2 linked regions of the Macaca fascicularis genome follow. The protein of the gene in region 1 binds, or shares a complex with, the protein of each later gene. Links are inferred from orthologs where the notes say so. Each region holds a gene or a part of one and is shown on either strand. Other genes may lie near its edges.

Region 1 (4,270 bases):
AGATTCTTCCTAAACTTTGGGATTTTACAGGTGTCAGCCATCCTGCCCCACCAGGATATAAGTCATTTGTCAGATATAAGTATTATAAACATCTTACCCCAGTTTTTTTGTTTTGTTTTGTTTTGTTTGAGACAGAGTCTTGCTCTGTTGCCCAGGGTACAGTGCAGTGGCACTATCTCAGCTCACTACAACCTCCGCCTCCTGGGTTCATGAGATACTTCTGCCTCAGCTTCCCAAGTAGCTGGGATTACAGGCACATGCCACCACGCCCAGCTAATTTTTGTATTTTTAGTAGAGATGGGGTTTCACTATATTGGCCAGGCTAGTCTCAAACTCTTGACCTCATTATCCACCCGCCTTGGCCTCCCAAAGTGCTGGGATTACAGGTGTGAGCTGCCGCGCCTGGCCCATCTTACCCCAGTTTTTATTGCTGATACTTTCTCTCTTTTTTTTTAGACGGAGTCTTGCTCTGTTGCCAGGCTGGAGTGCAGTGGCGCCATCTTGGCTAACCGCAACCTCCGCCTTCCGGGTTGAAGCGATTCTCCTGTCTCAGCCGCCCAAGTAGCTGAGATTACAGGTGCCCACCATCACAGCCAGCTAATTTTTGTATTTTTAGTAGAGACGGGGTTTCACCATGTTGGCCTGGCTGGTCTCGAACTCCTGACCTCAAGTGATCTTCCCGCTTTGGCCTCTCAAAGTGCTGGGATGACAGGCATGAGCCACCGCGCCTGGCCGAGCTTAAAGTTTTTTTTTACAATCTCAGTGATGTATCTCGGAGGGCAGGGACTCAGTATATCTCATTTACTGCTGCATGCCCAGCGCCCCTTACCATGCCTGGCACACAGTGGGCCCTCGACAAATGTTTATTGAATGAATGACAATGTCGTAGTCTTGTCTCTGGCCTCATTTTCTTCCTGTGGGCATGTTAATCTCTGTCTTGCCCATTTCACAGGATGTTGTGAGGCTGCAGGAACCACAGGACCCGTTCCCCCACCCGCCCAGGCGTTGGGTTTGGAGGCTCTCAGGACGCGTCAGCTTTTACATTCAGGAAAGGCGGAGCTCCAGTCTTCCCCGAGAACTTGCCGGCTAAGCTCCACGTGGGCACCCCGCCCACATCCAGCCACGCCCACACCCGTCAGCTGATGGGAGGGTCAGGACCAGACTCTAAGGGCGTGGCTAGAGCCCAGAACGAGGAAGAAGGCGGAGTTCCGGAGGTCACTGACCAATGAAAGCGCAGGTCTTTTGGCCGGAAAAGGCGGGGCCGCGAGCCGGAGAAGGTGGTGCCACATTTCCATTGGGATACCTGTCGTCGTCAGGGAAATGAAGCGTCTCCCCGCCAGGGAGGTGAAGGGGCGGGGCTTCCTGGGAGGTGGGGCTTCTGAGGCCGGCTCGGCTGGGACCGGGCGCTCACGGTCAGCTGACCGGCCGCCATCTTGTCCGCCATTTGCAAGTGGCCCGGAGCAAGATCGCGGCACCTGCCGAGCGGGTTGCCACCTCTGCGGCGGTCCTTGGACCCCGCCGCCGCCCTGGCCTGGGAGCCTGCCCCGCCGCAGCGGCCGGCAGCGCAGCGCTCCGCGGGCGGCAGGCGCGGACCCCAGGCCCCCTCACGGCGCCCAGCCGCGGGCCTCCCGGGGCAAAAGCCCGTGGGCCGCCGCGATGGCCCTCAAGATGGTGAAGGGCAGCATCGACCGCATGTTCGACAAGAATCTGCAGGACTTGGTCCGCGGCATCCGTAACCACAAGGAGGACGAGGTGAGCCTGGCGCGCCAAGGGGCGGCTCGGCCTGGTCACCGCCCCAGCCCCGGGCCCAGCGCTGCTCACTGGGCCTGCTCGGCCCGGGCTCTGTCTTAGTTCGAGGTCCCGCTCTCGGCCTCGGCCCTGCCTGGCCTGGGCCTGGGGCGCCGCCCTCGTCTTCGGTCCCTCAGCCTCAGTTTACCCCCGAGGGGCGAAGGCCTTAGAGCAGCACGTCTAGGGTCCTCGCCTCATCGGATCACCACGGGGAAGCGCTGTTCAAAATGCAATGCTCTGAGCCCCGCCGATGCGTGCTCTCCCCCTGGACCCTCAGTTTACTCGCTCAGAGGGAGATTCGGGCCCACCTCCCGCTTGGCTCGGGTGACCCTCCCAGGAGACTTCCGAGGTCCTTGGACAGAGTTTCTCCAACGTGAGTGTGTTTCCGAATCACCGATTAAAAATGCAGGAGCCCGGGCCCCGCCCCCGGACCCTCCCTGGGAGACCGGGGCAGGGGGTCCTGGGCCGCCCCTGGAGAAACTCCTTCCTTCTGGGTAGTGTAAATGCGTGTCCAGGTTGCTGCCTGGGGCCTGGCTCGGAACCGGGCAGGGTCTTGGGGCCTTGCCTCCAGTGCCCCGGTTCCCAGGAAGGCGAGGCTGCTGCTGGGAAGGAGGGAGGACAGCGGCATCCTAAGCCCGAGTGAGGTAGCAGCCTGGGGGAACCTGGAATGGGGAAGCTAACTTCAAGTAGGAACCTGAAAGCCAGCGCGAGGAAACGGTTTTCCAGAAGTAAAATTACAACTATGGGGATCGTTTCCTTCCCGCTTCTCCCCTCCCCCAACCTGTGACCTAGATTGAAAAAGAATGGGCACAGTGGCCAGCAAGCGTCTTGCTTCCTTGAAGGATACCCATGCAGCCCTTGGGCAGTGGGAGCCTTAGAAAGTGTCCTACCTGAGGACTGCCTGTCTGCTTCCCTGCGTGGACAGCAAGGCCGGCCTGAAGGAGATCCGCCTCTGATACCGCACCAGTCCCAGTGCCAGAGGCTGTGTCCCGGACGAGGTGCCCAGGAGGGCAGGGAAGTGAAGGGGTTTGCTTGCAGGCTCTGTGTCCCTCAGCCCATTGCCCCTCTCCCTGGGAACCTGAGCTCTTGCCGGATTGTTACACCTTTACACTTTTCTGGAAGTGGTGTGGCTTCGCCTGCCCCCACCTTAATGAGGTCATTTTTGTTCTTCTCCACCCCCCTTACCTTCGGCCTCCTTGGTTTTCATCATCTCAGAAGCTCTGCCTAACTGCTTTGGTTACAATGTGTAACTAACTGGAGTAATGTTCAGATTCTTTGTGAGTTGAAAGCGTGGCTGATGGGCCTGCTTTTACTGTACTGAGCGTGGTTCACCAGATTGGAAATGTGCTTTGCTTCCCGAGAGGCCTTTTTCTGCACAGGCAGGATCTCCCAGTGCCCGTCCCTGTCCCTGTCAGCACATGTCACTGAGCAGCCTGTTCTGGAATCCTGAGGATGGGCCGGGGGGGTTTGTCCAGTGGAGGACCACACCTCTAGTCTGGGGCGTGGTTTTCAGGGGGATGTGCCTGTCTTCACTGGGAAGCTCCTGAGCCTGGGTTTCTTCCTTTGGAATTGGTGTGAGTTCATAGCGCTTTCCCTATAAGCATGGGCCCCTTCAAGGGGGTATTGGTGGTGGAAACATTTTTTTTTTTTTTTTTTTTTTGAGAAAGAGTTTTGCTCTTGTTGCCCAGGCCGGAGTGCAAAGGCATGATCTTGGCTCACTGCAACCTTTGCCTCCCAGGTTCAAGCAATTCTCCTGCCCCAGCCTCCTGAGTAGCTGGGATTACAGGCATACGCCACCACGCCCAGCTATTTTTTTTTTTTTGTATCTTTAGTAGAGAGGGGGTTTCACCATGTTGGTCCGGCTGGTCTCTAACTCCTGACCTCAGGTGATCCGCCCGCCTCAGCCTCCCAAAGTGTTAGGATTACAGGTGTGAGCCACTGCATCCGGCTGGGAAACAATTTTAAACGGCGCAGCGCGTCCTTGAAAGTCCCAGACTTCCTCATGGGCCCTGCCGTTGGCCAGTGGGTGATTTCAGACAGGACGTGTGGTGTCTGGGGACCCGGCTTTCTCGCCAGAAGACCGTTGTTGTGGCCCAGAGGGTCGTAACTCAGCTGTTCATGTCTGATTCTGGATGTTGTCTGCAGCTGCTGGAGTCTCCTGATTGGAGAGCAGCAAATGACTGTTCAGTGACGGTTCTAGCCGTCCCCCCAGCACCCGCACTCACTCTGAAAACGCAGCTACCCTGTAGACCGTATGTTGTGGGCTCTTCCCTCCCACCCACCGCGCCCGGAACGAAGACTCTAGATGGTGTGCGTTTTCTGCGGCAGTATAGTTTCCAAAAACAGTTTCCATTTCGTAATGGATTTTCCCCTAAAACTTGAGCGTGGCATCATGGAAGCGAGGCTCAGCCGTGACTTTGAAAGCGGCGTGGAAAGGCAGCGCGATGGAGTGGAAATGGCGTGAGGTTTGGGAAATCCGAGT
Region 2 (3,756 bases), on another chromosome or scaffold:
TCACCCAGGCTGGAGTGCATCGGTGCAATCTTGGCTCACGGCAACCTCCGCCTTCCAGATTCGGGCGATTCTTGTGTCTCAGGCTCCAGAGCGACTGGGATTACAGGCAAGTACCACCATGCCCGGATAATTTTTTTTTTTGTATTTTTAGTAGAGACGGGGTTTCACCATGTTTGCCAGGCTGGTCTCAAACTCCTGACCTCAGGTGATCTGCTTGCTTTGGCCTCCCAAAGTGCTGAGATTACAGGTGTGAGCCACTGCGCCCAGCCAAACAAGTCTTTTAAGTTTATGCTTATATAATAAATTTTAACTGAAATTTAGTAAGAAGATTAGTAAAAGTTTATACTTTGCTTTCAAGTAATTTTGGATTATTCTGCAGAGTAATATCTCTGATAAATTTAACCAATTGAAGTAACATGGACATGAAACATATGAAAGCTTTTGACATTTCAATGTTTCTGGAATAAAGCTAGACGTCGTTCAAACATACTTAAAATATATGAAAGCTACTGAAAAATTAGTCATCATACTTTTCAGTGCTGTTTTAAAAAGATGATCAGGACTAAATGGCCTCACTTTGATTTGAAATCCGATTTCATAACTAAAATATTAGCAGACATTACATGTATAGAAAATATATAATTTTGTGGTTTATCTCCAATCAAACTTAAAACATACTTTCTTGTAAAAGACAAAAAAAGAGAAACTAATTTGGTACGAGCTAACAATTATGTATGATGCAAGATGATCAGGGAATGAAAAATAGAAGTAATCACCAGTATTCTAAACTATTTTAAATAGCATTATTTCTGTGAATGGATTTTAAGTTATAGTATTCTTATAACTATTTCCATTGAAATGTAAATTACATTTTACTGCTCTTTATAGATAAGAAAAATTGCCTCATTAACGAAGTTTTATTCAACAATCAAAAAGCAAATACCCATTATGCAATAATTATAGGTCCTTCATGACTTTCGTCAATATAGCACATTAACCCATTTATGTCAGAGGTTGCAAACTTTTTTTTGTGAAAAATCAGACCTTGGGGATGACCCTGAACAGTAGGATACAAATAACTCCCACAAGCTTAGCATTCCAATAACGGAACACTAGGCATAAATGTGTTAAGTAGCAGAAGAAAAAGAAGGACCACCACCAATGGAAAGGAGTTAAGTACCTGGAAAGGTGAAAATTCCAGACAACTGGTCATACTTTTTATAGATGATTATACAGAATTCACAAATTACTAGATACTCATTCATTATACCAGTTATTAAAGGATTGCATAACTGTTTGTCCCTTGGCATTTAAAATCTATAACCATACAGTTTTGCAAAGCAATGTTTAACAAATGACACATATTTTAAGTTCTTTTAAAACTTTAAAAGCAATAGCTCAGGGTTTACAGTAACCTTTTCTTTACTAAATAATATATTGCAAGTCAGTTATACTAAATTAAATTATGAGTCTTTTTCCTTGTCCCAAAACAAAATTTTCTCTATTAACCTAATTTATGTTTTCCACTTTCAAAAGCCAATATTTTAAAAATTGGCTATAGGACAAACAAAATGTATAGTTACTTAAGAGAATCTTAGCTCTAAATCACCATTATAAACTTCTCCTTTGGGAAACCAACAGGAATGGGAAATTGAGATAAAAATGCAATACTATTTTATTTAAAAGAGAACATTGGAAAATGTTTTTATAAGAAAGCTTCAACTGTTTCTAGATTTCAAATTTATTCTTCATTCTGCGTTTTCTTCAATTAAAATGGGCACAGAATTGAGTTAAACTGATCCTTTAAAATGCCAACAAGATAAATTTTTCAGAACTCACCTGTTGTAAATTAATGCCAGTGTATTTTTAATACCTTGATGTTTTCATAGTAATATTTACTTTAAATCAACAGAACATCTGAGCTTAACACTAATAATTATAAATAAAGTTTGTTTTTTCCAATCTGAGTTATGACTGCAAATACCAAATTTAAGAGTATCCTCAAACCAGCTGGGTGGTGAATGAGATATCAAAAAATTATTGATCTTTTTTTTTTTTTTGAGATGAAGTTTCACTCTGTTGCCCAGGAGTGCAGCGACGTGATCTTGGCTCACTGCAACCTCCATCTCCAGGGTTCAAGTGATTCTTGTGCCTCAGCCTCCCGAGTAGCTGGGATTACAGGTGCGCTCTACATGCCCAGCTAATTTTTTTTTTTTTTTGTAGAGACAGGGTTTCACCATGTTGGCCAGGCCAGTCTCGAACTCCTGACCTCAAGTGATAAAACTATTGCTCTTTCTAAACCTCTGCTAGGGTAATAAACAACCCAAATAATGTGAACCCGGGCGGCTCAGCTACAGCACCTGCTACTGATATTCAGACTAGTGCTTGAGGGAAGAGTCACTAAAATTCTGAAGTAGGGTTTTTATACAATGCTAAAGTGCTGGTTGTTCCTCATTTATCCAATCTAAGGTTGAATCTAACAGCAGAAAGTTAGCTAAGTATAACAAACCAATCCTATAGAATGCAATAAAAACCACGGATATTTATGTACCAATGTCTAAAATATGTGACTTAACTAACTTGTCAGTGAAATCTTAGGGAAAGATCTAGAATTAAAAGATTAAGGTATTGAATTTCTTTTTTGAATGTGAACTCAAACATGCTAGGCATTTATTTATAATTTGAAACATTACTTACTTCCTTATAAGAATTCCATTTCCTGTCCCTGCCCTTTCCAGAAGTAGTTTTGTAACACAAAATTTATATATCTTTAAAATATTAGTTCTAAGACTTCCTTGATAATTACTGATGTTTTACAAAGCAAATATTAGATTCCATTATTCAGATAATTCTTTTAAGCAATAAGATTTGGAATTGTGCTTATTACCCAAGGCAGCTATGACTGTGGCTAAAAGAAGAATACACAAAGCGGTTTGGCAGATAATAGTCACAGAACCTTTAGCATACTAATATGTGTATATTCAATTTTTTAAAAACTGAATGAGCATAACGGCTGAACCTAAAGGGTGATACTGAAGGACAAACAGTGAAAGCTACAAATCATGCGTAATCTGTCATCATGCTTAGAACCTTTCTTAACTATAGCATTTTCCATTCTTACCTCAGATTTTTCCAGCTTATTTTGTGCATCAATTTGTGTAACAATCTCATTCATGTTTGTCTCCAATACCATTCCCCCCATCACCATTTCTGCAAGAATATTGTGAACCTAAAGGAAATAAAAGAACATATACCCATAAAGAAAACTGACTAAAAAGAAGTTTCATGATTCACTTTTTGTTTCAAATACCACTTCATCTATATTAAATGTATGAGTGGTAAAAACAACTTGGAGTAAGGGCTCATAATCCACTTTCATCACTACTGTGAAGTCCTAGGCAGTTATATAACCCCCTTAAGTTAATAGGCTATAAAACATTAAGTTAATGAGCTTAATAGGCTATAAAACAAAAACAATAGTACTAGCTTCATAGGACTGTTGAAAGGAATAAGGTAATCCAACGCAGTACTCAAAACAAAGTAAATGACTAGTAAATATTAACTACCATTCTTATTATGTCAAGTTTAATACTAAAATATGATTTATAAGGGTCTTTTATGCCAGATTCGTAGCCAACAATAATTAGGTTGTTATTTTACTCATTGTACTTAATGAAGCAATGTAACACAGTACTTCTAACAGGCTCTAGATTGGAAAAAGCTAGAATTTTTAAAATTGTGGGTACTTTAATAGTG

Evidence for each region. Proteins that work in one complex are often made in the same cells at the same time.
Region 2: the proteins of AP3D1 (region 1) and AP3S1 are in contact, whole or in part, in a cryo-EM structure (PDB 9C5C), measured with the Homo sapiens proteins. The link is inferred for Macaca fascicularis from reciprocal best matches to the Homo sapiens genes AP3D1 and AP3S1. Residues at the interface, in NP_003929.4 of Homo sapiens: Leu18, Gln19, Val22, Arg26, Cys60, Thr63, Tyr64, Gln66, Met67, Leu68, Gly69, Tyr70, Asp71, Ile72, Ser73, Lys87, Phe88, Thr89, Arg92, Ile93, Leu96, Gln100, His103, Tyr126, Leu132, Thr133, Ser136, Tyr161, Lys164, Lys165; in NP_001275.1 of Homo sapiens: Met1, Lys13, Pro14, Arg15, Leu16, Ser17, Lys18, Phe19, Pro22, Tyr23, Glu25, Asp26, Gln28, Gln29, Arg42, Asp43, Glu44, Asn45, Val46, Cys47, Asn48, Phe49, Ser80, Glu81, Ser82, Glu83, Leu84, Gly85, Leu87, Asp88.

The regions. Positions count from the first base shown.
Region 1 is NC_088393.1:2,798,525-2,802,794, reverse strand, and holds the start of AP3D1 (AP-3 complex subunit delta-1), read left to right. Parts: upstream 1-1,435; 5' UTR 1,436-1,656; coding exon 1,657-1,752; exon of another isoform or gene 1,753-2,161; intron 2,162-4,270. UniProt on the Homo sapiens protein: Part of the AP-3 complex, an adaptor-related complex which is not clathrin-associated. The complex is associated with the Golgi region as well as more peripheral structures.
Region 2 is NC_088380.1:122,490,638-122,494,393, reverse strand, and holds part of AP3S1 (AP-3 complex subunit sigma-1), read right to left. Parts: intron 3,230-3,756; coding exon 3,122-3,229; intron 1-3,121. UniProt on the Homo sapiens protein: Part of the AP-3 complex, an adaptor-related complex which is not clathrin-associated. The complex is associated with the Golgi region as well as more peripheral structures.